Linked DNA regions of Mus musculus. The protein of the gene in region 2 interacts with the protein of the main gene of each other region in a pairwise test. Links are inferred from orthologs where the notes say so. Each region holds a gene or a part of one and is shown on either strand. Other genes may lie near its edges. The genes, in order: Eef1a2 and Abtb1.

The links.
Region 1: the proteins of Abtb1 (region 2) and Eef1a2 interact in binary tests that used the Homo sapiens proteins (3 or more experiments, as listed by UniProt). The two-hybrid records come from large-scale screens. The link is inferred for Mus musculus from reciprocal best matches to the Homo sapiens genes ABTB1 and EEF1A2.

The regions. Positions count from the first base shown.
Region 1 is NC_000068.7:181,147,514-181,162,406, reverse strand, and holds the start of Eef1a2 (elongation factor 1-alpha 2), read left to right. Parts: upstream 1-5,391; 5' UTR 5,392-5,683; intron 5,684-6,925; 5' UTR 6,926-7,000; coding exon 7,001-7,144; intron 7,145-8,576; coding exon 8,577-8,756; intron 8,757-9,326; coding exon 9,327-9,623; intron 9,624-11,337; coding exon 11,338-11,488; intron 11,489-12,474; coding exon 12,475-12,731; intron 12,732-13,574; coding exon 13,575-13,809; intron 13,810-14,300; coding exon 14,301-14,428; 3' UTR 14,429-14,893. UniProt on the Homo sapiens protein: Translation elongation factor that catalyzes the GTP-dependent binding of aminoacyl-tRNA (aa-tRNA) to the A-site of ribosomes during the elongation phase of protein synthesis.
Region 2 is NC_000072.6:88,834,278-88,849,014, reverse strand, and holds Abtb1 (ankyrin repeat and BTB/POZ domain-containing protein 1), read left to right. Parts: upstream 1-7,079; 5' UTR 7,080-7,190; coding exon 7,191-7,246; intron 7,247-8,114; coding exon 8,115-8,177; intron 8,178-8,249; coding exon 8,250-8,305; intron 8,306-9,243; coding exon 9,244-9,388; intron 9,389-9,524; coding exon 9,525-9,684; intron 9,685-9,784; coding exon 9,785-9,830; intron 9,831-10,053; coding exon 10,054-10,170; intron 10,171-10,258; coding exon 10,259-10,377; intron 10,378-10,536; coding exon 10,537-10,635; intron 10,636-10,729; coding exon 10,730-10,897; intron 10,898-12,289; coding exon 12,290-12,490; intron 12,491-12,562; coding exon 12,563-12,769; 3' UTR 12,770-13,101; downstream 13,102-14,737. Other genes in the region: Podxl2 (podocalyxin-like protein 2), read left to right, coding at 206-280, 3,326-3,482, 3,888-3,949, 5,329-5,508, 6,018-6,248. UniProt on the Homo sapiens protein: May act as a mediator of the PTEN growth-suppressive signaling pathway. May play a role in developmental processes.

The DNA.
Region 1 (14,893 bases), on a different chromosome or scaffold from region 2:
AAAGAACTCTCAAGACTTGACACAAAAAAAGATAAATAGCTGCATTTAAACTGGATCAAGGACTTTAGTCCTTTTTCCAGAGATCTACAAGCAGCCAGCCATTGCATGAAACAATGTTCAGTGTCACTGATCACTAGGAAAACTGAACTCTTCTTGTTGGCTGACAGCCTGGAAGCCCCCTAGTAATGTAGGTGCCTTCCTGGTTTCCTCCCATCCAGTAGGAACATCTGTCATGTGCATTACAAAACAGAGCCTTGAGGTACCAGTTGCATTCACGTTCCAGTCTCAGAGTCCTGTAACCTAAGACAGGGAAATATCAAAGGTGTGAAATCATTGGAAACTTTACCCAGGCTGAAACTACCACGTGGCTGAATAGAGAGAAAATTCTAGAAAATAGTCAGTATTGAGCAACAGGGGATCCAGCCAGTATGGCTGAGCCTCCTTGTTTGTTAGTTTATCTATTTACTTGAGGAAGGATTTGAATTTAGAGTACTGCCTGCTCTAGATTCAGCACAGGTTCAGCCTCCTTTTGGAGGCCTTAGGAGAAGATGGAGGCTGAATGCTGAGTGGCAGTCAGGAGGAGTCACATGGGTGGCACTGCCATCTTGGAAAGCAGTCTGTGTAAGTCTGTTAGCTGAATGTCGATTGAACAAGGGCCAGCATAGAACCCAGAGTCACTTCCCAAAGCTCTATGTACAGAGAAGAGAAACCAGATATATGAGGAACGAGGGTGGTGCCGCATTAAGAGAAGTCAGTCATCAAGGGCTGCCAGAGGCTGCGTGACTGGTCACTGTTGCTTGGAGAATGCATTCTGCCTGGGTCCAATGGGGATATTGACACACATCCTGTCCACCATCACAGGGCTTGAGTTTAGAGTCAGGAGACAGTATGCCAAAATCTTTGACCCTCTGTTTCAGAAGTCTCATACAAGATACATGTGCAGCTGTTTATGGCAGCCTTGCTGGTAGCAGGTTAAAACTGTGGAACAGTGTTCAGCCACAAAAATAAATGAAATCCAGTGTGGCTGAATCTCACAGCCCTGATAATGTACATTGTAGTGTAGATTGTGAATACCTTCAAAGGTTCATGTGTTTGTGAAGGCTTGGTCCCTAGGGTGGGACTGTTGGGAGAGAGTGGTTTCTTTAGAGCAAAGGCCTTTAAGAAGGTCTTTAGGACTAATGGAGTGTGCTTTTGAGGAGAATTGCAGGACCCAAGCCTCTCTCTTTTTTCTTCCTGGATACGAGGTGAGAAATTTGATTCTTTGGCGTATTCCTGCCACAGTGTGCTGACTTGGTATGGTGCCAGTTCACCACGGAACTCCAAAGCTGCAGGCAGAGGATATTTTATAAGTAGCTCATGTCAGGTGTCTATTATGGCAACAGGAAGCTGGTGGTGGAGCAGGGAAGGAAGCCAGACAGAGGATGCAGGTTGGAGGCTCCAGTGTGTGTTGTTTAAAAACAGCCCCAAGGGGCTGGTGAGATGGCTCAGTGGGTAAGAGCAAAGGTCTGGAGTTCAAATCCCAGCAACCACATGGTGGCTCACAACCATCCATAACGAGATCTGTCTCCCTCTTCTGGAGTGTCTGAAGACAGCTACAGTGTACTTACATATAATAAATAAATAAATAAACAAATAAATAAATAAATAAATAAATCTTAAAAACAAAACAAAACAAAAAAAAAACCAACCCCAAATGAGTCTGTGTCAGGAGTCCTCACGGTGTTGGCCATTGAGGTGTGTCTATTACCCAGAGGGGCGCAAGGGAGTGATCTGGGTGCTGCTCCCAAGGGTGAGTTCTCTGGAAGCTCAAAACATATGGTCCTCCCCGTGCAATCCCCATGTATGTTCACCTACGTTTAAAAGGATCTGCGTGGGACTAGAGAGATGGCTCAGCAGTTAGGAACATGTACCTCTTTTGGAGGAATACTTCCAACAACAACATGGGGTAATTTACAAATATCTGTCTCATTTGTACACATGCATCGACAGGCTCCAATACACATACTTTAAAATAAATCTTTTTTTAAAAAGGACTGCACCTTCTCCATGTTGCAACCCTTCTGTGTCCCTTTGCCCCCAGGTATGGCTCTTGGTGATGGATGGGATGCTGGCCTCCCAGGGCTTCTCTTGGACCAGTGTGGTTACTCCTAAGGTTGGCCATTCCCTGCACTGTGACTGAAGACCCCTGGTCTTCCCCTTTGTTTCTGGGTGTTACTGCAGGCAGCACCCTGCTTTGACCCCAGCAGTTGGTCTGCTGTGTGACCTCTCAGCCTGCAGAGTATGGAAAGTTACTCGTGTCCCACAGTGCCTGTCAGACTCTTACTGGTCTTCAGAGATGAACAGCTCTTCCCTCATTGGATGTTGTAGGGCTGGGCTCCCTAGAGAAGGAGGGAGGAGCCTCCTGCCTGGTGAGCTGCCGCTCACCATGGCAACAGCTCCCTGTGGCTGTGGGCTCCCTGACAGACTGGGGATGCCTTAGACACACAGACCTCATGCTTTGGGAGATAGTGTATTTGGGGTCTTGGCTAGCCTGAAATCAGGGGTTTTCCTGTCAGGAAGGCACTAATTGTTGTCAAGGAGAGGCCCCAGAACTCCCCTCATCACAGACAGTTTATTGCTTGCTGCCTCAGGAGCACACTCAGTCTCCTGGTATCTTCCTGGAAGCTGATCTCCAGGGAGGCTTCCTAGGACTCAGGCTCAGGTAGATGGCTGGTAAAAGGCTCTAAGGCCAAGGACTGTGCTCTGAGACCAGAATGCATCTAGCAGTCCAAATCGGGGTGGAGATTTCCTGGAAACTCTCAGACTAGAAGATGTCCCAAGCGTGACCCTGATCCTGTCTCTAAGACCCTTTAAAAGCCACTTGATCCCAGTGACATACATCTGTTGGATATTGACTACAGGAGGCTGTCCTGACCATAGCTCACAGAAGGCACCCGCACAGGTGGTTAGCTGGGCACTGCAGCTATTATTAACCTGACAGTGACATCACCGCCAGCCAATGGGAAGCGGGTTTATTTGCAGGGCTGGCAGCTTGATAACGGTTAATTTTAGCTGGATCTTCATTTCCAACGTTTGTGAAACCCCCACCAGTCAAAGGGGGTGGTGCTATATCTCCCTAAACAGCTTAAAGACGGCAGGTGGGGGTTCCTGGAGAGGCTGAGGAGGTGTAGAACCTGAACCCTGTCCTCCATGCTGCCAGTAGGAAGAATCCTGGTTTCCTGTAGCCTCTCCTTGCTTGCCCTGCCCCACCTCTGGCAGCTTCCCAGGGCCACCGTGACCAGGGCTACTGAAGGAACATGAGTAGTAGCAGAGGTTGTGGCCACAGGTGAAACGCAGGCTTCTGTCTGGAAGTTACACTGTCTTAGTTCTAATGCCTTGAGCTACCCACTGGTGTGGTCTCAGGTGCTGAGCTTAGTTTTGCCCAGTTTCCTCATAGGTTTTGGGGTCCCTGAGCCCTACTTATAGAACCTGATGTTTTTCAGTATTGCAGACTTTATTGCTTAAGTGCTGCTAAGCATGCAATTGAAGAGGATAGAAACCCAAAATTCTGGCAAGGTGCTCAACTAGGCTCTACAGTGGAAGGCAGGAGAACCATCCATAGGCACTTTTTATGGTAGGATCAGGCTGGGGCCCTCAGGACCTAAATGTCCCATAGAAAGCCCCATACCAGCACTACTTCCTGGAGATTCAGTCCCAACTTGGGAGATACATGCAGATTGAAGCAATAGCTGCCCCGTTGCTGGCGCTATTGAGTGCCTGGCCATTGCTCAGTGCTGCTGGCTTAGTGGCTCCTTGGAACAGCTGGCCTCAAGGCCCCCTATCATGTTGGCTGAGTATGTTGTTGCTCAACACTGTTAACCTCTTAAAAATCTGTTTTCTGCCTATTCCCAGGGTCTCTCATACCAACAAAGGCTTCAGGGATTTGCAGTGGAGGCAAAGTATGTCCTAATGACAGGGAGGTACTTTTGACCTGCCTCCTGTAGGTCAATGTATAGGTGTTTCAGGCAGGACATGACCTCTGGTCATTAGGGGTCAGTCCTCTAGATGGGTAAGCTCCTGGCCTTGGGCCTTGCTGGCTCACTGCTGCCCAGATAGACAGAGGAGGCGACTCCAAAGCTAAGGACTAATAGCTATTCACAAAGATGCTGGGTTTTGGACCTCATTATTGAGCCCACTCTACCTCCTGATTTCGAAACCAGGCCCAGTCATCTCCATGCAAGAAGGAAGGCATTCAGGGAGAGATGAGTTGGACAAGTGGGTGGAGTAAATGCTAATGTCTTGCCAGGCGTTTATTTTTAATTCCTGGCTCCCAGTTGACGGTCTCAGCAGTCTTCAAAAGTGCCAAGTCATCTGAGAGCCCTGCCTAGCCTCTGGCTGCCCTCTGCTAGACAGACCCTCATTAGGCTTCACCTTACTCTCTCTTCATACTTGATAGCTGCCCTAATTGGGCACCCATCTCCAGGGTCCCCTAACAGGCGCTCTCAGTAGGAGGTGCTGGGCCCTGACCTGGGCCTTCTATGTCTAGATCTACTCTACACCAGGGTAGAAGGAATAGGCACAGGCCTGCTGTCAGTCAGCATAAATACTCAAGGAACCTTTGCTTCCTACTTGCAACCACAAAGACTGGTTGGGTTAGGACAGGTGGCAGTATTGGAAAACGGGAATGTCTGGGTCAAATGACAAGATAGGCACCTCTGAAGAAGCCCCTGGTGATACACGGTGGCCACAACCCCCTTAAGGTCTATTTGGGATATCCTAATCTTTCTAGAAATCTCAAGGGCTCCCTGCTTCCTACCAATGGAGCCTGAAGGAGAGTGGGGATCTGAACCCTGTTTGGATGTTCTTGGTGACCTTAGCTAAGACCATCTGAGAACGGGCTTTGTAAATTCCCTACACCTAAGGGAATAGGTAGACAAAAACCTCTTTCCAGGGCTTCATAAGAAGGTTGGGCTGCGGGCTGGACTGGCTGATTGCCTCAAGGGCCTGTCATGTAGGGTCCATGTGAGTAAGCACTTGTGCTAGGGGTGGTGGGGATCGTGGAAAACCTCTGGAAACTGAGCTTCATGTTCACCGGGACTCAACCATGAGCAGGGCCAGCAATGGATGCCCACATCAAGGCTTGCAGGGATCTTGACCTGGGCTTGGGCCTCTTCTCTCCTAGTCTACTTGCTGGTTCCCTATTGTGTTCCACCTTCCTGGGGACATCTTTATGTTGGATGTACCTTTTTTTTCCCCCCTGCTCTCCAGCAACCACTGTCTCTGCTACCCCAGTTCTCTCTACTGTTTCTTTCGCTTCTCTCCATCCCTGCCCCTCCTTTCCTGGCTCTGTTTCCCTGCCCCCACCTCTGCGCGCTGCACCGCCCTTTTGCCTGTTTTTCTCTCCTGGTCTGCGTTCTCGCTCACTGGTTCTCTCCCTCGCTCCGGTGCATCATTGCAGCTGCGTCCTCTCGGATCCTCATTACGCCGGCCCGCGTCCGTGGGTGCGCGGCCCCTGCGTCCACGCATCTTTCGCATCCCATCTGCCAGCCGCTCGGCGCCCGCCTCCCCCCTCCGGTACCGCATTGCCGTACTGCAGGGGCGCAGTGCATTGCGCCGGCACCGTCAATAGGTGGACCCCCTCCTGGAGAGATAAAACCGCCGGCGCCGGCGCCACCAGTCCTTCTGACTGAGTCCTCGGCTCTGGGTAAGGACGCACATCCCGGTCTGAGACCCTTGCTTAGGTTTTCAATCAGGGTTCGCTTCTCTGGGAACCCAGCCCGGGGAAGAGGGGAATATGCGGCACCTAGCTGGGCTGCACCCCTGGGCTGGGGGTGGAGGGAGGCTGTCTCTAGACTGGGCATGGTGGGTCCCCGTGGCAGTCGGGTAGTGAGTCCCTTAGGCAATTGTGACAGTGGAGGGGGGCCTTCTCCTGAAACCTGCCATCATGCTGTCACCTTGACCTTGGGGCTTGTCTGGGCTCTGCTGGGCTTGACAGGCTGGTCGGTGAAAGTGCTGGCGCGGTGGTTTGGGGCCCTGGGGATGTCCGTGATTTGTCAGAGTAGGGCGGGGGAGGTGGTGAAATCTGAGGACCCCTATCGCGTCCTATGTGGCTCCCACCCTCGGATGCACCCCCCACCCCAACAGGCCTGAGCTTCTCGGTTGACCTCTGAGATGCGCGGGTACTGAGACACAGGACCTGGACTGGATAGTAGGGGAGAGGGTCAGGGCATCTCTGAGGGCACTTGCTGAGCTGGGCCAGGTGGGATTTTTATTTCTCTGGCTAGAACAGGACATTCACCTCTCGGCCCTCATGGCTGCCCCTTGCCTGTGGGGAGGGCCTGAGCTATTCTGGGCCTATGCCTGGGTACCATCCAGCTGTCTCCTCTGCCAGCCTGTGGGCAGAGGGAGGAAGATGGCGCCCTTGCCCGTGGAGGGGCTGAGGAGTGCTGGCCTTCTCTTCATGGTGGCAGCAGATGGGGGTAGGGCAGTGTCCCTCCCTGGTGTGTGTGTGTGTGTGTGTGTGTGTGTGTGAAGGGGGGGGTGGCATCGAGGACAGGAAGGACAATGCACCCTAGAGCTGGGCACAGTGACTCATCACAGGGCTCCTGGCTGCTCCAGAGCTTCACTCAGTCTGCTGCTCTGTGATGTCCAGACCTGATTAACCCTTCCCTAAGGAATTTGCCTCCAAATCACCTTCCCAAACACTTACACACTAACGGAGCATTTGGGCTAAGGTATAGGGTAGAGAAACAGGTGGCTTATGAATGAAATGTGGCTGAATGGGGTTAGGACAGGGTTGGGGGGGGGTGTCGTTCTTCCCTATTCTGGCTCAGGAGAAGACTGGGTCAGGGCAAGCTCCCAAACAATACAAGAATGGCGCGGGTACCTCTGCTGGACTCTCTTTGGGCCCCTTAATCACTTGTTTCCCTCGTCCCTGACTCCACAGAGTTCCTGCCCAGCATATACCCTCAACCCCAAACCAGAGCCCCCACAGTGCCAGCCCCTCCCTCACCCAGGCAGAATGGGCAAGGAGAAGACACACATCAACATTGTGGTCATTGGCCACGTGGACTCAGGCAAGTCCACCACGACAGGCCACCTCATCTACAAGTGTGGTGGCATCGACAAGCGGACCATCGAGAAGTTTGAGAAGGAGGCAGCAGAGGTGAGCACTGTGGGCCTGGTGCTGCCATTGCTCAGTTTACCTCCTTCAGTGCAGGGGATATGGGTGCCTGGTGATGGGAGGGGTGAACAGAGCAGTCTCCCTCTGAGAATGTTGCTAGATTTGTCTCATACTGAGGGAGGGGGAACTTGTGCCCTCCCCAGGCCCATCCGAAGGCTCTGGACTCGGCCTCAGTGGGCCAGTGCCAGGAGACCCTCAAGCCTTATCCTCTTGTTCCCCAGGGCTGAAGCTGGGCTGGATGTGGTGCTGTCCTCGCTTGTCTGGCAACAGCCAGGGCTCAAGGATGCTATTAATAGCTGATTGATGGGCAGCAGGCTTGCCAGCTCCACTTTCTCCAGATAAGCTGAGAAGGGTTGCTGGTCCAGGATGGTACCTGGAGTGGGGGGTCTTGGTAGCCTGTTCCTGGTTGAGACCTACAAATGAGCAGTGGTTGTAACAGAATTCTCTTCTCTGCCCCTAACCCTGCTCATTCCGAGAAGAGCTGGCTCCTGGATAAGGGCTAAGGCAGATCTGAGGGCATCAACTGTCTATGCAGAGCTCCTGCTCCTGTGTGTATATGGGGCTTTGAGCCACAATTCTGTGTGTCTAGGCCTGATGCTTTTACCTTTTAGGGGTTGCGCTGAGGGGAGGAGGTAGGAGGGACCTGAGGGTTTGATGGCCACTTGGATCAGGTCCCAGCTGGGTTTTGTCTGGCTCTGTCTGGGTAGCCCCTCCAAGCTGGGCATCATCCCTGGAATGCAGAAGCAAACATGTCATGTGAGATTCTGGTAGGGAGTCATGTTCAGCTGAGCATCGATGACCACAAACCGTGGTCCAGGCTGTAGGAGTCTCACAAGGAGTCTCACCCTGGCACAGATTTGCAAAGAGCAGCCAGCCTTGCTCTTGGTGGGGCTGTTTCTACTTCTGTTTTGGTGGAAGTGGGGAGGGGAGATGCCTCAGAGTTATTCATCAGCTGCAGGAAGAGCTGGAACCGGGATTTTCTCAAAACCTTGAACAATTTACTCATTTTTAAAATTTTCCCTTAAAAAAATAACTTAGAGAGTTGTTTTGTTTTTAACAGTCCCAAACCTAATGAGATAATTGATCTCTAATTGGGTGTAGAGCCTTAGCCTCAGGTGGCAAGGATAGTTTGGCAACTCCCAGGCCCTCACGCCCTCTGCTGGGGGACTTGCATGTCCACAACCATTGAGGAAGGGAGTGAGGGTGGGGCTGGCTGATCTGGGCAGCCTGGGGTGAGGCAGAGCAGGGTTTGGGGATCAACACCAGAGAGATGGGACAGAGGTCTTCAGTTCAAAGTGCTTTAAGCCAACTGTCACTTCTCCATGGCTGCTCCCATGGGCCAGGGCAGGCATGGCAGGTGGATGTGACCTCAGAGTCCTGTGTCTTATCCTGAGTTGTGCCTCTACCCTTCCAGATGGGGAAGGGCTCTTTTAAATATGCCTGGGTGCTGGACAAGCTGAAGGCCGAGCGGGAACGAGGCATCACCATCGACATCTCCCTCTGGAAGTTTGAGACCACCAAGTACTACATCACCATCATCGATGCTCCAGGACACCGAGACTTCATCAAGAATATGATTACAGGCACATCCCAGGTGTGCACAGAGGGCACCTAGCTCAGTGACTCGGGGCCCAAGAGCTCTCTTCAGGTGTCAGCGTCTCTTGCACTTTCTGTCTCGGCAGACCTCTACCCATGTCATCTCCATGTCCTCTCCATCCTGTTGGGCATAGAGTCCCTCAAGAACTGAGTCAGTGTTTATATCTCAGCTAGACCGGGTGCCTGCAGGGTTACCTCTGCTGGGGCCAGCAGACAGACCAAGGGTGACATGTAGGCATATCTTTCACACATAGATTTTTATAGAAGAGCCCAGAGTAGATACAGTGACATATGGGTAGAAAAGCAGTCAGTCAGTCACAGGCAGAGAGGACAGAACCAGAGGGGATCAGTGACTCATCCAAGGACCATACCCTGCTGGCAGTGGAGTTGATGGCCAGTCTGGGCCTCCTTGACTCAGGGTCTGGTGGAAGATTCCCCTGTTGCCCTTGAGGTAGATACCCTGAATCTCTACCCCCAGCATAACTGCCCAGGCCCCATTATGTGGGTGGCAGGGCCAGGTCGAAGGCAGGGCCGGGTGGGGACTCACTGTGTCTGACCTGTTGGCTAGGCGGACTGCGCAGTGCTGATCGTGGCAGCCGGTGTGGGCGAGTTTGAGGCGGGCATCTCCAAGAACGGGCAAACCCGGGAACACGCACTCCTGGCCTACACTCTGGGTGTGAAGCAGCTCATTGTGGGTGTCAACAAGATGGACTCCACGGAACCAGCCTACAGCGAGAAGCGCTATGATGAGATTGTTAAGGAGGTCAGCGCCTACATCAAGAAGATCGGCTACAACCCAGCCACGGTGCCCTTCGTGCCCATCTCGGGCTGGCATGGTGACAACATGCTGGAGCCTTCACCTAATGTGAGTGGAGATGGTATGGTGGGGACAGTGCTGGCCTTCTCAAGAGCCCAGGGCTCCAAGGCTCCAGGCCAGGGTGGGCCAGGCTCCCTTTGGTCTTGCTAGGTTTCTGTGAGCTCTGTGGTGATGAAGACCTCCTAGTAAGGGACCTGCATTTGAAGTTCTCTGACTCAGCCTCCTTAAGAGGCCAAAAGAGGAAGATAAGGCCCTTTTTCTGGCAAATGATGGTTTCATCAAGTCATCCCTACAGACACTGCCTGTTGGATCCCGGATCTCACTATGGGGGAAAAACAGTTTTTATTTCTCCGAAGTCACTGCCCTGGGTTTAAATACTATTCAGGCCGGGTGTGGTGATGCACACCTTTAATCCCAGCACTTGGGAGGCAGAGGCAGGTGGATTTCTGAGTTTGAGGCCAGCCTGGTCTACAAAGTGAGTTCCAGGACAGCCAGGGCTATACAGAGAAACCCTGCCTCAAAAAAACAAAAAAGAAAAAAAAATCAAAAACAAAACAACAACAACAAAAAACTATTCAGAATCAGTAAGGCCACATGGTTTTTTTCAGCTGCCTCCCCCTTTAGTCTGAAGTGGGTTGGTATCTGGGAAGGAAGCATGTCCGGAGGCTAGCCTGAAGAGTGGAGGATTGTGTTTGGGCAGGTCATGTGGAAGCTTGAAACTTAGACAGTCTGCAGCTCTGGGTTGGGACTCTTACTTGGGAGTAAAGAGGAAGACATTTTTCAGAGACAGCCTGGGACCTAGACCTTGGTCTATCCAGAGGAAACCCCTGTCCTAGAAAGGTGGGTACTCAGCTATAGCCAGCTTTGCAGCTGCCACTGTGAGTAAAATGATAGAAGCCTAGGTTCTCTGGAGATAGCTGGGGACCCAGTGCCTGGTGGTATAAGGACAGAGTTTGGCGGGCAGGGGATACTCCATTTTGTTCTTGCTGATGTATGATTAGCAGGACTTTAGAATCCCCTGGACACTTCTGATCAGCAGAAACTCCTCTGCTCCCTACTGCTCTATTGTGCTCTGGGGCTATGCCCATCCATACGTTGAGAGTCATCTGTTGACCTGAGGTGCTTGGAACTTGGCCATGAATACTAAGGCAGGAGTGCACAAAGCCCCTTGGGTGGATTTACTTCTTGTCTGTGGCAGGTGGACCATGAGGAGCTCTGTCAGGGGGGTTTGAAGTCATCCTCCAGAGAGGCCATTGTAGTGGTGGTGGTGGTGGTGGTGGTAGTGGTGGTGGTGGTGCTAGACCTGAGCTTGGAGATAGTTTGGTATGGAGCAGAACTCTGGGGTAAGGGCAGAGGGTGGATTTTATCCATGGCATGGTCATTGGCTAGACTTGGGTCCCCATTCCCCTGGTACTTGTCCTGTCTAGGGCTATGATTGATCAGATCCCAGGGGAATTAGGGAATCAGGCCAGGCTGAGTGGTCTCATTTGTAAGTGGTGGGGGCATGACAGCAGTCTGGGGAAGCTGTTTTTGTTTGCTTGATTTGTCACTTCCCTCTTTCCTAAGCTGTGTTTGTTCAGGGTCCCTGTGAGGCTAGGAAGGAGAGGAGGGATAAGGAGCAAGCTATTCAGCTTGAATGGTCAAGCTCCCTTCCCAGGCTACCCCTTAGGCAGGTCCAGGAGATCGGAGGCTGAGGGTCAGGTCAGGTGAGTTGCTCTGTGATAACTGGCACCCTTTTGTTTTCCTTTTTGGTACTGCCCAGATGCCATGGTTCAAGGGCTGGAAAGTAGAGCGTAAGGAAGGAAATGCAAGCGGCGTGTCCCTGCTGGAAGCCCTGGACACAATCCTGCCCCCCACCCGCCCCACTGACAAGCCCCTTCGTCTGCCTCTGCAGGATGTGTACAAGATTGGGGGTGAGTGAGGGTTCAGTGCTGGGGCTCACTGCGGCAGGCGCTTGCCTACTCTGCTCCAAACCCTGACTAGGATATCAACAAGGAATCTTGATTCTTGCTCTATCTACCCACCCTATCCATCCGTCTACTCAGTCACCCCTCCCACTCACCTCCACAGTGGCCCCTCCCACCTACCATTTGTTCACTCAGCCTTCCATAGGATCCCTTTCCCACTCCGTACCCCCTCCAGCACTCAGCCACAAGCTAGGGACATAAGATAGGAGTATTGAACCGACTTACACTTTGCCTGCAGGGTGGAGGGTGCCTGTCTCATAGGAGGCAATCCTAGTCCAGGAGTGAGAAATATAGGTCACATGGGCCAACAGAAACCAAAGCCTCATATGAGACGAGCAAAGGGAGGGGAATGCGAATATCACGCTCACGCTTAACTCCAACACAGAGCATGACTGTTGGCTTTTCTCTGCCATCCCATAATGCCACTCCACCCACAAGCTTCCAGGAGATGCTGGAGAGCTCTCCCTCTCCCAGCCACTTGCTCATCATGGTATCCCTGTGGAAGCCAGACCGTCTGTGTGAGCAGGCCTGTCAGAAGGGCTGTGGCCAGATGCCTCTTCAGTGGCAGGACCACAGTGCTACAGCAGGACTCAGGGAGTCCCGTGAGGGCAGGAGTAGACCCAGCGCCAGGAGTAGATTGGGCCACACACCACAGGGAGGGGTTCTCAGGGAAGGAGGAGGAGCTTGTGATGTTCCTCCCTTCTCTGCCCTGCCCCTCATCCTTGAGTCTGCCGGGAGAGACTCCTTCTGTCTCACCCTCTGCTTGTCTAGGGACCCCCTGTCTACGTATACCCTCCGTGAGGTTATCTCCCTTGACCCCTTCAGAGAGGAACAAGTCCTGAGCTCCATATACTTTCAGGCTCCCTGCTTGTATGTTTTGCCCTGCACCGCTCCTCTGGCCTGCCATCTCACAATACCCTCTCTTGGCCCAGGCATTGGGACCGTGCCTGTGGGCCGAGTGGAGACCGGTATCCTCCGGCCTGGTATGGTGGTGACCTTTGCGCCAGTCAACATCACCACAGAGGTGAAGTCTGTGGAAATGCACCATGAGGCACTTAGCGAGGCCCTGCCTGGTGACAATGTCGGGTTCAATGTGAAGAATGTGTCCGTTAAGGATATTCGCCGGGGCAATGTCTGCGGGGACAGCAAAGCTGACCCGCCTCAGGAGGCTGCCCAGTTCACCTCTCAGGTTGGTGGTTGCACTAGGGAATGTGGGCATTCCTCCTCAGAATAGGAGAGATGGGTGGGGGTAACAGGAACAAGAGCTACTGGCCTTTGCCTAGCACTGAAGAGGAAGGCCCTCCATTCACCCGAAAGCCACTCAGTGTTCAAAGGCTACATGGGTGCTCAGAGTCACCAGCAGGTAAGCAGGACCATGGCCTCTCTGGGCAGTCCTCCCCTGGGATATGGTCTATAAAAAGGCTTTTATTAGTGTACTGCCTGGGGTATCAGTGTAGACTTCTTTCTCTTAAATTTTTTTTAAATAGATCTACTTATTTAGTGTGTGTATGTGAGTGTGTGTGGCATGTGTGTATACATGCACACGTGTGGAGGTCAGAGGGCAACTTGGAATCAGTTCTCTCTTCCCATCTTGATGCTCCCAGGGACTGAACTCAGGTCTTCATGGTCCAGCAACAAGTATCATTCTTTGTCCCCAAAGCCATCTTGCTGGCTTCCTTCTCTCTATATTTTTATTGAAGCCTTTTTTAACACCTCTTCATGGGACAAGAATTTTAAGGACAGTATTATTGAAATGTAATAGAAGCATTATGATTGCGGTCCAATTCTGTCCTGGCTGTACAATGTGTCCATTCTATCATGGTCCTTTCAAACAGTGCAGCTATCTTTTGATTGCCTCATAGTTTGCTACATGCTTAGCAAGATGTTGGGGTATGAGTGGGGTCCCTGTGGCCTGAGCATTCCTTGCATAAAAACAGGATCAGGAGATGACCCTGTGACTGGACCCACCCCACCTAACACTGTCCCTGTCCCAGGAGACCTTCCTCACAGCTAACTTCCCCTCTGCTCTCAGGTTATCATCCTGAACCACCCTGGGCAAATCAGCGCTGGCTACTCGCCAGTCATCGACTGTCACACGGCCCACATTGCCTGCAAGTTTGCCGAGCTAAAGGAGAAGATTGACCGTCGTTCTGGCAAGAAGCTGGAGGATAACCCCAAGTCCCTGAAGTCTGGTGATGCAGCCATTGTTGAGATGGTCCCTGGAAAACCCATGTGTGTGGAGAGCTTCTCACAGTACCCACCTCTCGGTGAGCCGGGTGATCCAAGGTGTAACCCAATGCGGTACTGACGGGCAGGGTCAGGGGTTCCTTTACTATGGCAAATTGAGGAAAACTCAGCATTTAGTAAGAGGTCTCATCGAGCACACAGACGCGCGCGCGCGCGCGCGCGAACACGCACACGCACGCACACATACACACACACACACACACACGCACGCACGCACACACACACACACACACACACACACACACACACACACACAGTGCTTCTCTTTTGAAGAAGAACGCCTAAGGGACTTCCTCGCGGCCAAAAGCAAGTCTAGTAATTTCCCTCCCATCCCCTGGCCCCACACGACAGGACGGCCTAGTTTGGTCTAACTAAAGAACTACATACTTGCTGCTGTTCCAGGCTACTGGGACTCTGACGGTCAGAACAGCTTAAGCTGTTCTGCGGTCGCCCAATGCACCTGCATACTGCATCCTGGGCGTCCCGGTAGTTTACGCATCTCTCCCCACAGGCCGCTTCGCCGTGCGCGACATGCGGCAGACTGTGGCCGTGGGCGTCATCAAGAACGTGGAGAAGAAGAGCGGCGGCGCAGGCAAGGTCACCAAGTCCGCACAGAAGGCTCAGAAAGCGGGCAAGTGAAGCGCGGGCGCCCGCGGCGTGGCCCTCCCCAACGGCGCCGCGCCGCGCCCCCAGCCCCGCCCCCGGCACTGGCCCCGCCCCCGCCCCAGGCGCGGCCCCTCTGCCCCGACCCCCTGCCAGGCGCATGTCTGCACCTCCGCTTGTAAGAGGCTCTACGTCAGCGACTGGATGCTCGCCATCAAAGTCCAGTGGAAATTCTTCAAGAGGAAAAGCGCCCCCGCCCCAGGCTTCCGCGCCAGCGCTCACCACGCTCAGTGCCCGTTTTCCCAATAAACTGAGCGACCCCAGAGCCGTGTGTGCCTACTGCTGGGGCCCTGTTTCTCAAAGTCCCGTCGTCCAAGGTGTTCAGTCTGGCACTTCTCACCGCTGCCAGGTGACCTTGCAAACTGCCCTCCTATGCTTCATGGGTAGGCGGTGGGGCCCGCTGCGTGGGTGCTGGGAACCCCCAGCTAGGTGAAGATGGAA
Region 2 (14,737 bases):
GTTCACAGTGCATAGGGCCAAGGCAAAGCCTCAGGATGGGCCAGGCCTCTCACTTCCTCTGTGTCACTGTTTAGCCTTATGCACGCAGAGTGGGGACCTGACACTGCAGCTCGGGAGGATGTGGTGGTCCTCAGTTCCCAGGGGCTCAGGCTCTCCAGAGGTCTCTCCTAAGGCCTGTGTGCCCTGCTTGCTTCCTCTCGCACAGGTGATCTGCAAGGATTGGAGCAACCTGGCCGGGAAGAGCTACATCATCCTGAACATGACAGAGAACATAGACTGTGTGAGTGCTGAGCTGGCCCATGCGGAAGGAAGGGCCACACGGGCAGAGGGAGGTGCTGCAGTGGGGGCCCTGCCCAAGAGGCCAGCCCAGTCCAGGGCTGAAGCAGCACCTACCACTTAGGGAAAGCCAAAAAGAGCTCTTTCCTACTTAAAACTCTAGGACTCTTCCCCCCCTTTGCTTTCTGTAATTTGTATTTTTTTTTCTTTTTATCCCAGGCTGACCTCAAACATAGTATGTAGCCAAGGATGATTTTGAACTCCTGAACCTCCTGCTTGGTTTTATTCAGTGTCGAGCATCAGACTCGGGGGCTCATGCATGCTAGGGCAGCACTTTACCAACCGAGCTGCACCCCCGGCTCCCTCTTATTCTCACTTAAAGGATCTTTTGTTCCAGTGAGCGACATGCTTCTGATGATGATACTGAGACCTGTTCTGTTGTCTTTAGCATTTTGTTGAGAAAGGATCTTGCTATATTGGCCAGGATGGCTTGGAATTTCTGGGTTCAATCAAAACTCCTGTACCCACCTTCCAAGTACTGGGACTACCGTCAAGCACCATTGTTACCCAACAGTAACTTTTTATGTTGTTTTTATGCTGGGGTGTAGTGACATGTGCCTGCAACCCCAACATGGTGGCAGCTGAGACGGGAATCAGGGTTCAGAGCCAAGTTGGGCCACACAGATGCTATCCCACAAAGGATGTCCCCCATCCTAGCTGCTTTATCATCTTGCCTTAGGCTTTTTAGAAGCAACATCTGTTAGTGTTTGTTCATAGCTCTCTAAAGAGACATCAAAAGGCTAATGGGAAAGCTGTGTGTGTCTGAGAGACAAAGACAGAGACAGAGATACTCAGAGCCTTATATAGGTCATGTGCTAGGCCATCAATCACAAGAAGGCCACATCTGAGCCTCCTCCATGTGACTGAGATGGTGTCCTCGTCTTATTCTGTGGCTGTGATAAAACATTGGCAGAAAGCAACTTGAAGAACAGCAGCCATTTGGCTTACACTTCCAGGTCATGGTCAGTCACTGGGGGAAGTCAGGGCATGATGAAAAGCAGAACCCATATGAATGAGTACTGCCTAGTGACCTGCCCTCAGGGTCACAGTTAGCCTTTTCATACAGTCCAGGAACATCTGCCCAGGGAAAGGTGCAGGCCACAGCGGCTGGGCCCTCCTGCATCAATTAATAAGATAATCCCTCACAGGCATGTCTAGGAAACAACCTGTTCAGGAAATTCCTCAGCGGAGTCTCCTCCTCTCAGATGCCCTAGGTTATATCAAGCCGACAGTTAAAGCTAGCCTATGACTGTGGCTCTGGACATTAGGTCCTTCCTCCTGAGGTGACTGGACTGTTCGAGAAGTATGAAGAGTTGTCCGTGTTCTGGAAGCCAAGGCAGGGGAGAGGTTGGGTGTCTATAATTAATGTGCTTGCATGAACACTGGTACTCATTAAGACATCTTCATGATCATAGGCACTCAGTTTTACTCTTGAAAACGTGAACTTCCAGGGCTAGGGTGTGGCTCTGTGGTGCTGCTCAGCACAGTTTTGGGTTCATCCCCAGCATGTCGGGGTAGAAGGTAAATCAGAGGAGAGATGTTCCATCTTCTCCAGGCAGGGAGTGAGTTTGCTGTTGGTGTATCCTTTCCCGAGCGCTGTATGTAGACTTGTCTCCCATCCAGCGGTCCATGGTTTCCTTTCTGACTTATGTTTGAAGAGAATGGAACACTGTGCATTGAAGGTGATGGGCCACGCAGAGCCCTCATCGTCAGATAAAAAAGAATAGGGAGGAATGTGCCACTGCCCCCAGAGACGGCTTTACACGATGCAGCTACAGTTTTAGAACTTTGCACTTGAGATCATCGCCAAGAGTAGTGTAGGCTAGCCAGCTTCTCCTGTTTCCTATCTAGGATCTAGGAGACAGGAAGGGAGCCGGCAGAGATCAGCAGGCACAGACACAAAATGACAAAGTAGCAAATGCCAATCTGACCTTGGAGTTTAGATGCCGGGAGCATCTTTGCCCCAGGATGTGGGATCCCATCCTTTCCCTGGAACAAGGTGGCTGTCGCTATACAGGGAAGGGTGTCATACATGTGGCCGAGCAGCAGGCAGGTAGAACACCGCCCTGTCCTCACATCAGTAACAACGCTGACCACTTGACCCTGGGATTTGAATGTTTGGGACAGAACTGCTGACTGGGAAGCTAAAGTGTCTAGACCTGAGCTGCACCTGGCTTTTGCTATGGTCACAAGGAGCAAGCCCACCATAAAAGTCAGCTTGGTGGATTTCAGGTTGACCACCAAGGGGGGGGGGTAGGTCCTTATCCTAGGTAGGAACCCAACAAGAGTAGCAGTTCATCTCTGCCTCGGGGGTCACAGGAAGGCATTGGGCTTGCACCCACGGTGGCCTGTTGACATGTCTAGAGAGCTGGACATGCAGGAGAGGGATCTGGTTGGGACTCTCCTGGTGGCAGCAGCCTGGCCTCTCTCTGCCACAGAGTTCCTGTGGAGGTCTGGGTTTGTTTTCTTGTTACATTCTTTAATTATACTTGACATGATCATCCAAACAGTGGGGTAGAGTCTGGGGGGAAAAGAAGCCACCTCACCCTACACCCACCCCACTCCCTAGGCGAGTTCCAGGGTACTCTGAGTCATCTCTATGGGTTTTTCAAGTCCCTTGCTGTAAGGGCATTCCCACTGCTCCCGAGGCTCAGTGACATGGTGGAATGACCAGCAGAGGAGCCTGCTGTTTTCAGCCTCCCTGCTCTCTGGTGGCCATGGGGACTTACTGTTGTTGTTTCCAGCGCTGGATACTTTGCCCCATGATAAGGGTGGACAGATCCATGTTCCCTCTACCCGACTGACTTTGGGGCAGGCTCACACCTTTACCATGGTATTTAGAGATGGAAGTGAATCAGCTGTATCTGCCTGTGCCCTGCTCTCAGCTGGGCCCAGGGCCGACCAGGCTGGGGAGAGGGCCATCTAGGCCTTTGGGATCTGGGATGAAAGCTACCATCCAACCTTAAGCTTGGCTCCTCTGAATCCCTAGGAAGTATTTCGGCGGCACCGGGGACTACGGCTCCTAGCTCTGGTGGAGGAGGTACTGCCACGCCACCGCAGTGGCCATCGTGGAGACTGGCATATTTCTCTGAGCAAGCCCAGTGAGAAAGAGCAACACCTGCTGATGACCCTTGTAGGAGAACAGGGTGAGCAGACAGGGGAGGTGTCCCGCCACAGGCCTGCAATGGAGGCTCAGGAAAGAACAGGGAGGGCTGTGAAGCTAGGAGACCCAACAGGCATTCTACTGCAGGGCTCTGGGTGAAGTGATACCTGGGTTCTGGGGATGAGGAGACAGGTATGGCCATCACACTCTATGAGAGCGGGATCCTTGGGCTGCAGAGGTGACTTCTAAAATCATGCCTTTCATAGTTTCCCAGGGGGTCAACTCAATGGGAAGCAGGCCAGCAGGGGACATACATGGGCCCTGAGGTTCCCTGTGATTAGAAGCACAAGGGCAGCAGAGGCGGCTCAGGCATTCTGCCATAGGAGAAGGGTTGGGTGGTGTGGAGACACCTCAGGGTGCTGTGGTGATGATGGCGTTTTTCCTCCAGGCGTGGTACCCACTCAAGATGTCCTTTCCATGCTCAGTGGCATCCGCAGGAGTCTGGAGGAGGTAAGTGTGTAGGGACTTGACCTGGCAGCCACTGCAGCATCTTCTACCATTCTTGACTCTCCAAAAGTGCCTGGAAAAACTTACTGCTGTTCCAGAACAGGGGTGTGTCTCAGGGCTCTGGCCATCCCCAGACACAAAGAACAGGTGCAGGTTACCACCCGAGCAAAAGGACTGCACACCCCCAGGCCACAGTGAGCGATCGACCATCAAAGAGGGGATTAAGTAGGATGGTATCTGAAGTATCATGAAGAACACGGTGGGGGGGGGGGGGGGGGACGACGACAAGATAGGCCCCGCCCCTACCAGTGCTTCTCCGGGGGAATCTGAGGTGTGGGGTGGATGCAGGAACTGGAAACAGCCCTCTATAGTCAGAGGTAGCACTGATCAGATGTGGTGGTCTGGCCCCTGCTGGGCTATGGGACACAAAGCTGGGGATCTAGATAGCCCAGAGCTACCAGGGGCCTTGCCTGAGTGACTCCCAAAGCTCTCGTGGTGGAACTTTAGATCCCCAGCAGGAGCCAGAACACCACATCTGATCAGTGCCACCTCTAACTGTGGAGGGCTGTTTCCAGTTCCTGACATCCCCCACCCCTCAGGTTCCCCTGCAGCATTGGTGGGGCGGGGCCTATCTTGTTTCCCCTCGTCCAGGTTCTTCGTGATCTCCAAATCTGGGCTCAGGAACACAGATGGACAGAGGGCACCTGCAAGGGTTCCACACAATGCAGGGAGGAGCTGGAGCCCAGCCCCTGCTCCAGAGCTCACTGATGGCACTCACCTTCCTCGGCTCCCTCCCTTCACCTGAGGCTGGACTGTAGGGAGCTTTCCCATTGGGAGGGAGTCCAAGCCAGCCAGAGCAGCCTGCAGTAGGGAGGCACATGCCGCCTGTGATCTTACCACTGGGAAAGGGAAGAAGCTAGAGACCCCAGCTGTGGGCTGCAGTTGGCATCCCCACAGAGGTTCCAGGGATGCGGGGCCTAGCATGGATGGCTAGGGTGACATTACCTTATGCCTAAAGATGAAGCTTGCTTCAGGCCTCTGCCTTTGGTGAACTCAAGTCTCCCAGATGCCATGTTGCTTTGTGAAACTGATGGGGACAGGGGTGGGGCCCCATCTATTTGGGCCGTGACTGTCATCACGTCTCAGTGATGTGCAGGGCCAGAATTGGTGCATTCAAAGTTGTGTTGGTGTAGAAACACAGTGAGGAAGTGAAGGAGCCAAGAATGTGGACCCTGGGAGAGGCTTGGAAGTGTTCTTGGATGAACCAGTAGGGACAGAATGGTATGCCCCTCTATGCAGGTCCAGGCCCCAGGGCTGTCAGGGGCTCTAACTCACCCTTGGAATGTTAGCTCTTAGGGCTTTCCTGATACCCCCACTCTTAGATTGGCATCCAGAACTACTCCACCACCAGCAGCTGCCAGGCACGAGCCACCCAGGTGCGCAGTGACTACGGGACGCTCTTTGTAGTGCTGGTGATCATTGGTGTCATCTGCTTCATCATCATTGTGCTTGGCCTACTCTACAATTGTTGGCAGCGCCGGATGCCCAAGCTCAAACACGTGGTGAGTAGGCCAGGGAGGGCTTAGGACTGTAGGGCAGAGTGTGGCTAGTATCACCCAGTGCTACCCAAGAGCCTCACCTAGAAACCTGTACCAACTCAGTTGTGCTCAGTGCCACCATCTACCCTCTCTGAGCCTGGTCTTCGAGGAGATACACAGTGAGGGGGAGTTAAGTCTCACCAAGGGATCCCTCCTCTCCTCCAGCTCTTCCTAACCCCAGTGCCCCATTCTGCAAGGCTTGAGAGCAGCTGCTCCCCTCAGTCCTAGAAGCCAAAGGCTCCTGCAACCTGCACAAGAGAAAGGGGGCAGGCCCTGCACATTCTGCCCTATCTCGTATGCTTTGAGTGGGCTGTCTCATGTATAATGCGCTGTTGGAAGGGATCAAGTGACACCAAGGGGGTCACAGGGTTTACCTGCAGAGGTTTAGGTTTGAGTTGCAGGCACTTGTATCCTGGGCCCCAAGGGAGTAGTACCCTGGGGGCTTGGCGTGGCCAACCACTGTGCGCGCCTAGCGCTCTCTCCTGCTGCTGCAGTCGCACGGTGAGGAGCTGCGCTTCGTGGAGAACGGCTGCCACGACAATCCCACGCTGGACGTGGCCAGCGACAGCCAGTCGGAGATGCAGGAGAAGCAGCCCAGCCTGAACGGTGGGGCCATCAACGGCCCGAGCAGCTGGAGCGCGCTCATGGGCAGCAAACGCGACCCTGAGGACTCGGACGTGTTCGAGGAGGACACTCACCTGTGAGCGCCGGGCCACGGGCGCGAGACTGCCCGACGCCACGGCCCCGCGCCCCTCCCGGTCCTCCACGCGGACCACTATGCTTCCCCACCGCAGCAGGCGACCGCGGCGCAGCTCCCACCCCGCCCTGCCCGGCCCCGAGCGCTTGCCCGAGGCCAGCGCGCTCCCCGCGCCAGGACTCCATTAAAGCCGCTAAGACGCGCGGGCCGCTCCGCCTCCACGCCTGTTTTTTGCCTTCCGAGGGCTGCACTCCGGGGAGTGGGTGGGATGGGCCTGGAGGAGTAGGTGGGGCAAGGGAGGCTGGCTGGGCGTGGCCAAGGACGGGTGGGCTGGGAATTTCATGGAGTTTGTGGGCGTGGTTAGGGATATGTGGGCGGAGGGTAGGGAGTATAAGGTCATCTGGGTGGAACCAGGCCGGGTGGGCTGAGCCTGAAGTAGGCTGGGAAAAGTCCTGGTGGGCGAGGCCTCGGCCTGATGTGCGGGACCTGAACCGAGCTAGACTCAGGACTGACAAGCGTTCCAAGCCTGTGGGAGGTGCTGTTTTCAGAACGGATCCCAAGAAATGTGGGCGGGGCCTGCAGCGAACTGCTCTTCCGGTGAAGCTCTTCTGAGGAGGCGGGGTCTTGGTAGTGAGCTATTCTTCGGGCGAGTGGGCGGAACCTGGGGGAATTGAGTTGTCCTCTAGACGGGTGGGCGGGGTGAAGGCTAGAAGTCCCCAGAGGCTAAGTGGGCGTGGTTAAGGTTACTGGGTGCGGCCTTGGGGAGCGGCCTTCTGGATGCGAGGGCGGGGTTCGGGCCGGACGGTCCTCCGGGCGGCAGGCGCCGCTGCGGAGTCGCAGGCGGGCATAGCTAGGCCGTGCCGCGAGGGGCGGGGCGGTGAGTGTTTACATCCGGCCGGGCACAGACGACTCCCGAGATCACTCGGCCGGGGGTCCAGTCTCTTTCGCCATGGATACCAGCGACTTGTTTGCCAGCTGCAGGAAAGGGGACGTGGGCCGTGTGCGGTGAGAACCTGAAGTGCAGGAGGCGGGCAGGCGTCCGCAGGGCTTATCGGGCACGGGTGTGGGGTTGGGCGCCGTGGGGCTCCCGAAGCTGACCGAGTCAGGGAGATCGGGCTCTAGGTCCCTTACTTAGCTCGGTGCAGGGAAACGACTCCTCTCCGTGGAGGTTCCAAGAGGCGCAGGCGCCGCTGGTGCAGCCAGTTACCAGCCTGGCGCCGAGACCGTGATCTCCGTGGGCAGGCAGGGAAGAGAAGGATCCTGACCCTTTTCTTTGATAGACTCCTTTCTCCCATGGCCCTTCCTTCCAAGTCCCCTGGTCCTCAACAGATGTGACCAAGCTGCAGCTCTCTCCGACACCAGATGCCACCTCAGAGTTAATGATCCGTCCCTCAATTTGAATGCAGCTCTGAGAGTTCAGGTCTTGCCTCAGATAGCCTCCTTGGGCTGCCATGTCCCAGTGATCGCTTTCTGGTTCATGACCTCTTCTCCTCAACATTTTATCAATTGTTTTTTCCACTTCTTCCATAGATCTGTTCTGTTCCCCTCCTTCCCCGCCCCCAGTGCCTGCATCAGCTTTCTTCTGACTTCCCTGCCATTGGCTCCCCAGGCTGAATTAGGGGCCCCATCACCTTCTCTCTCCCAGATATTAAAAGACCAAATTCTCAGCCTTCTGAACCTGGGGCTTGGCCTCTGTCCATGAAGCCATCACCCAACTCACAGTTGCAGACCCTTGCAGACCTGTGTAGTCCCAGGCCTTACCCTTCTCAGAGGCATTCCCTAGCCCAGAGAGATGTGGCCTCCTTCCCCTTCCTGGTTGTCTCTCTCCCAGATGAGAAGCAATTCTGACCCAGGCTTTGAACTTCCTGCCCAGGTACCTGCTGGAGCAGCGAGACGTGGAGGTGAACGTGCGGGATAAGTGGGACAGCACCCCTTTGTGAGTGTGAGCGGTGGGGTAGCTGGGTGGGCAGGGTGGGCCTACCCTACTGACAGCTTCCCCCTTTCCTAGGTACTATGCCTGCCTCTGTGGGCATGAGGAGTTGGTGCGCTACCTGTTGGCTAATGGTGAGAGAGGGTCAGGGTCTGCCTGTAAGCTCTGAGACCTTGCTCCATGTTTGTATGCACCCTTGATTTCTTGTTAACTCCCTAAAGTCAACACATAGTACTCTCTAACCCTCTATCCACTTTCTCACGTTACCCTTGACACCCAGGCCAGTTCTGGGGCTGTCTCCTGTACTGTACCACCATTGGTCTGCTAAACTGACTCTCTGATCTCCATATTTGCAGGCAGGAGGATCTTTCCACAGCAAAGCTGATGGGAGTGTTTGGGATAAAAGCACGTGGGCATGGTTGCCCACACCTGCAATTAAATTATTGGGAGAGAGAAAAGTCGAGACAGGGATTATCTTAAGTTCAAAGCTAGTCAGGGCTACATTGTGAGACCCACTCTGACCTCCTCTCACTTTGCCTTCCTTGGGTCTCCCACCTGCTGGCTGCCCCACTAGACCTACCCATCTCCTACCTCAGGGTCTTCTCAGTTGCAGTACTTCCTGCTTAGACTGGAGTTCCTTCCTAGATCTATGCATCTCCCGCTTCTTTCAAGTCCCTGTGCTTAGCCACCTCACTTCACAGTTCTCCCCATGTGGCTGCCACTGCCATAGTCACCCTTGGTTCTGTTTTGTAATAATGCCGGCTGTCATATAATAAACTATGCATGGGCTCCACTAGGTTCAGTTGGGGCAGGGATCTGCTAGTCACCAAGATGGCTATTTACAGGGCCAGCCCCTCAGTCTGGCCTTAACTGCATATAGTCCAATATTTACATGTGTATTCATGAGTATGCCTACATCTAAGTGCACAGATTGTATGCCTTGGCCTTCCCAAGGACCGAAGGGTTGCCTGGGCCTCTGTGGCAAGGAAGGGCCTCTGGGGAGCTGGGGAGGCCAGAGATCTCCCCAGACTAGGTGTTCCCTTGACTCTGACTGATGAGCATTGCTTTGTAGGAGCCCGCTGTGAGGCCAACACCTTTGATGGAGAGCGGTGTCTCTACGGAGCGCTAAGCGACCCTATTCGCCGTGCACTGAGAGACTACAAACAGGTCACTGCGTCCTGCAGGAGGCGGGATTACTATGACGATTTCCTGCAGCGGTGAGCTGGGGGTGGAGCTTGCAGTACTGCTGGGGTTGCTGGGCACTCTCAGTGGGTTCTGGTGGGTGGGTTTGCTGAGTGGTCCTGGTGCGCCAGCAGTTGTCAGGATGATGCAACCTTTCCTGGCTTTTCCCAGGCTTCTGGAACAGGGCATCCACAGCGATGTGGTCTTTGTGGTACACGGAAAGCCGTTCCGGGCCCATCGCTGTATCCTCGGTGCTCGCAGTACCTACTTCGCCAACATGCTGGACACCAAGTGGAAGGGCAAGAGCGTCGTGGTTCTCAGGCACCCCCTGGTGTGTCCATCTGCCTTGGGAGAGAGTGCCAGTTTCTGGGAGAACAGATAGTTCATGCTGGGTGGTAGCCTCTGACCTTCCCTTTCTACTCTGCCTGCAGATCAACCCGGTGGCCTTTGGGGCTCTACTGCAGTACCTGTATACAGGTGACTGACCGACCCCGTGGGCTGGGACAGCAGCACACCCAGGGTGGCCCAGAGCTGATGTCACCTTTGGGGAGGAGGAGTGTGCCCAGCATGACTTAACCTGTTTGGAGAGGACAGGTCCCATCTACAAATTGAGCAGGTCTTAGGTCCTTCCGGATGAGAAAACCAAGGTATTGAGTAGGAGTCACTCTCAGGTCCTGACTCAGCCTCCTCAATCCCCCAGGCCGCTTGGACATCGGTGTAGAACACGTGAGTGACTGTGAGCGCCTGGCCAAGCAGTGCCAGCTGTGGGACCTGCTGGATGACCTGGAGGCTAAGTGCGAGAAGGTGTCTGAATTTGGTGTGTACAGGGTCTCAGTCCAAGGTCTTGGGTTACAGCCTGCAGCTCTGGTCCACCTCTCTAAGTCCCTGCCGTCTTCTCCCCCCAGTGGCTTCCAAGCCTGGCACGTGTGTGAAGGTGCTGACTATTGAACCTCCTCCAGCAGATCCCCGGTTACGGGCAGATATGGCCCTGCTAGCTGACTGTGCCCTGCCATCTGAGCTGCGGGTATTGAAGGGCATGCCAGCTTGGTGGGCATGATGGGTGTCTAGGGATGGGGCTGTGAGGGGCAGGTTCCACAGAGCTGGGTTCCCTTCCTAGGCCAACCTAGAAGCTACTTCCCTTTCATGAACGGCTTTGCTCTGAGTCGTCTCTTTCCTATACCAGGGTGACCTTGGAGAGCTGCCCTTCCCATGTCCCGATGGCTTCAGCAGCTGCCCCGATATCTGCTTCCGAGTGGCTGACTCCAGCTTCCTCTGCTACAAGGTACCTGTCCCACCCCTGGCCGCGCTGCTCAAGCCCTGGGCTGGCCCCTTGGGGCAGATTCGAGCCCTGGTCCTTTGTGACCTTGCTTCCTCAGGCTTTCTTCTGTGGCCGCAGTGACTACTTCCGGGCCCTTCTGGATGACCACTTTCAAGAGAGTGAGGAGCCTGCAGCCTCTGGAGATCCCCCAGTTGTCACCCTGCATGACATCTCCCCGGACATCTTCATTCACGTGTTGTACTACGTATATAGTGACCATACCGAGGTGAAGTGGCGCCCAGCAGGAGGGCAGTGGTGAACAAGCCCTGGGCCGTCTGCCGTAGTGTTGTCACAGTCCTTGGGTCATTCCTGCACTTAGCTGTCCCAGAGTTCCTGAGCCAGGCCTGTGGGTGGCTTTAGACAGTACCAAAGGTTCCCTCTGTTGGTATGTGTTCATGGCAGTGTAGCAGGGCACTATACAGGAGAGAAGTGTATTTTCCATTGGGTCTGAGGGGTGAGGTGGCTTGCTGGGGTCCCAGGTGCCCCTTTGTCTGGTTTTTCCAGGGCATTGCCACAAATCTTCCCTAGGAAGGTAATGTTTTAAGGCTGGTGGGCCATATGGTATTGTCAGGGCTGTTCAGCCTCCAGGAAAGGTCTTTGTAGAAATGGTGGCCCTGACCCCCAGGCTGTGGCTCCCCCATCCTCTTTGTTCTCTGTTACTGAGATGGAACTACAGGAATCTGTGTCCCTACATCATTTTCTGGTGACCCCAGTCCTGGCCATCTGGCTCCCACCAACCTGCCCCCTCTGTATTAGGCTTTGTCACTAGCCTTCCTTCTGTCACTTCCCCTCACTTCCTTTCTCATGGCCTGCCACTCATTCTGAGGTTGAGTCTGAAATCCTGTGTCGCAAGCTCTCTCTGGAAGAAGCTTGGTACCCCAAGAACATTTTTAATAGCTCAGAGTGTGGACTGGCCTCTGAACATTGTCAAACAGTAGATTAGTCTCGGGAGCTGTGTGATCTTAGACAAGTTATATCCCTGCTCTGTGTTTCAGTGTATTCCCCAGAAGATGGAGAATAGTATGTTTCCTTGAGTCTTGAGCATATGACCAAACGACCAGAGAATAGTTAGGTGGCAGAGTGACATCCAGAAGTGTGGTGGCATAGTCCCTCTATTTTTTTTTCCCCTCTGCTCAGTCCCTAGGCCACCCAAGGTCTGAAGCTGGATTCTTGACCTTAGCCAAGGCCTAGCAGTCTCCTCCTCAAACTTGTGTGGTCTTTCACAGTGGAAGGAGCCATTCCCAAGCTGTGGGCTGGAATAGAAACCTCCAGCTCACTTTACTTTCTTTCAAGTCTTCCAAGGCTGGCATGAATCCTCTACAGATGAGGGGACTGAGATACAGAGGTGAAGGGACTTGCCTGGGACCCCACAGCTGGATGGGGAGAGCTCAGGTCTATGCCTGAGCCCACACTGCTTTTCCTAAAAGGCCTGTAGTCCTAAGCACTGACTGAGGCATGGAACCCCCCTCTCCTGAGCTGATTCTGCCCCTTGCACCCCCAAAGACCTGGGCCAGGCTCCAGAGATGTGAGTCTCTTGTATTTCCACTGGGGTTTCCTCCCTGGACCCTGGGAGCCCTTGATGATCCCCTGTGTCCTGTTGTCCCTTTTCGTGTCACAGCTGCCTCCTGAGTTGGCCTACGATGTTCTGAGTGTGGCTGACATGTACCTTCTGCCTGGCCTGAAGCGGCTGTGTGGCCGCAGCCTGGCCCAGCTGCTGGAGGAGGACAGTGTGGTGGGTGTTTGGCGCATAGCCAAGATGTTCCGGCTGGCCCGGCTGGAGGACCAGTGTACCGAGTATATGGCCAAAGTCATAGAGAAGGTGGGCAGGGGTGCAGAGAGGGGGAGCCTGAGAGGGTGGGATGCAGCCTGTGCTGAGCCTGCTTCTCTGCAGCTGGTAGAGCGGGAGGATTTCGTGGAGGCCGTGCGGGAAGAGGCGGCAGCTGTAGCGGCCCGGCAGGAGACAGACTCCATCCCGCTCGTCGATGACATCCGCTTCCATGTGGCCAGCACGGTCCAGACATACAGTGCCATTGAAGAGGCACAGCAGCGACTGCGGGCACTCGAGGACCTGCTCGTGTCCATTGGCTTGGACTGCTAAGCCCTTCCGTGGCCAGGGCAGCCACGGTGACAGGCATGCGCAGTGTGTGCACGCAGCAAGATGGCATTACAATGGGCAGAGGGGACCTCACAGGATGTCCTTGGGATGAGCCTCCTCCTCCAGTGCACAAGGAAGCCCCAAGATTTGGGGCAGGCACCACTCAGGGAAAACTGGGGTACGGTAGGCTTTGAACTTAGTCCCATCTCCCCCAGCGTCCTACCTGCTCCCTCCTGGTTCTCACCCAGCCCTGGCTTGCTTCGGCTATTTCCGCATACAGGGCTGGACAGGACGTAGGGGGTGTGTGGCAATAAAGCTTGAATTCACTCTGGGGACCTGAGCCTGTTGTTGGGGTACAGCTTGCGGGGGGGGGGCAGGCTTTGGGGAGTGGAGCTGGTGAGGAGAGGAAGCTGGGGACTGTGGATAGGGGACTTGGGCATTCTTAGCGGGACACTCCATGGAGGGTGACCCAGAGGCTTGGAGAAGAGGTTCTCTGATCTGAGCCAGTAGGCCTGTATCCCTGCCACTTAACCACACCCGGTGTGACTCCATGGCCTAACTACAGAGACACAGAGGACTATGGTATTCCCTGGATGCCTCAGGCCAATGGACCACACCCCTCCTCCACACTCCAGTAGAACTTTGCTTTGTCCCCAGTGCTAGACAGCTGTCAGTCTACATGTTGTCCTGCAGTGCCATAGATCTCCCCACCTTTGTGTTTGTCATGTCCCAGAACTTTCTAGATTATTTTCCTCTTCCTCACCAGTGCATTTCCATTTGTTTTGCTCTTGTGTGTTCATCTTTTGGGGAAAGACCTGAAGCTGCCAGCTAGGACAGGTGGCCTCGAGTCAGGGTTGCTGGCAGAGGGTTGCAAAGGTGGAAGGCAGTTTGCCACTGAGCCCACCACAAGCAGAAGGGAAGCCAAGATGGGCGGTGGGGTCTCACTGGCTCTGCCTTTGTGCCTGTTCTTACATGTCTGAGTTCCAAACCGGGGGACGAGCATTTAAGTGTGGTCACCTGAGGAGACTTAGGGTCACATCTGGTTTGTGGTGAGCCAGGGTGTTTGTGAAGCATCCGAAGGAGCTTCCTGGGGGGAGGTGCCAGCCAAGCTGGGTGTGACAGTGACTTGCATCTTTAGGCTTGTATTTTGAAACCACAGGGACAGGGAGGATGGGGACACAGGCCACACACAGCCCAGGATGTGTGGACTTCAACTTCAGGAGGTAAAGGGAAAGTTTCAAGTTGCCATGCATTTCTTCCCATGTGTGATTAATTATTAAGTCAAGTCCATCTTCTGTATAGATGTTATTTGAAGTCAGAAAGTTTCCATCTTTCATCAGACGTTAGTAACATGAGCAAAGGAATTTTCAGTGCCCTGGAATCCATATTCTCCACTAGGTTCATGGATGCGATGGCAATCAGGTTGGTCCCCAAGGAGCCAGGCCATGGGTCAAAGTGGACACGAGTTCCCCAAATACCACGCATGTGCCCAGTTCCCCATCTTAGCATGAGGCAGAAACCCTCCTGGGTACAGCAAGTAAGAAACACCAACCTTGTTACTGGTTAGGCAATGGGGTCCTTCCTGCTCTGCCCACAAGGTGGTTGTGAGCAGGTGAGATGCTCTCCACTGATGGCTGACCCACGAGGCTGGCCTGGTCAAGCCAGAGGCTGTGGAGAGCTGGGATCTGGGTGCTTCAGGCTGCAGAAATGAGAGATTTAGGACTCCAGGTGACCAGGCTGGGGATTCATCACTCTGGGCTTTAGCTCACAGTGGCCTGGGTGACATGTAGGTCCTACTAGTGTGGCCGCCCATCAGCTAGCTGACCCCTTTGCTCTGAATCTTTCCAGTTAGAAGCCATAAGGAAGGAGACACGTCTAGTGTCGGTCTTGACTGTTGTTATTTAATGTTTGGCTGCAGCAGGTGGTGCCCACTCTTCCTGCAGGCCTTGGCTCTCAGGTCCTGGAACCCTG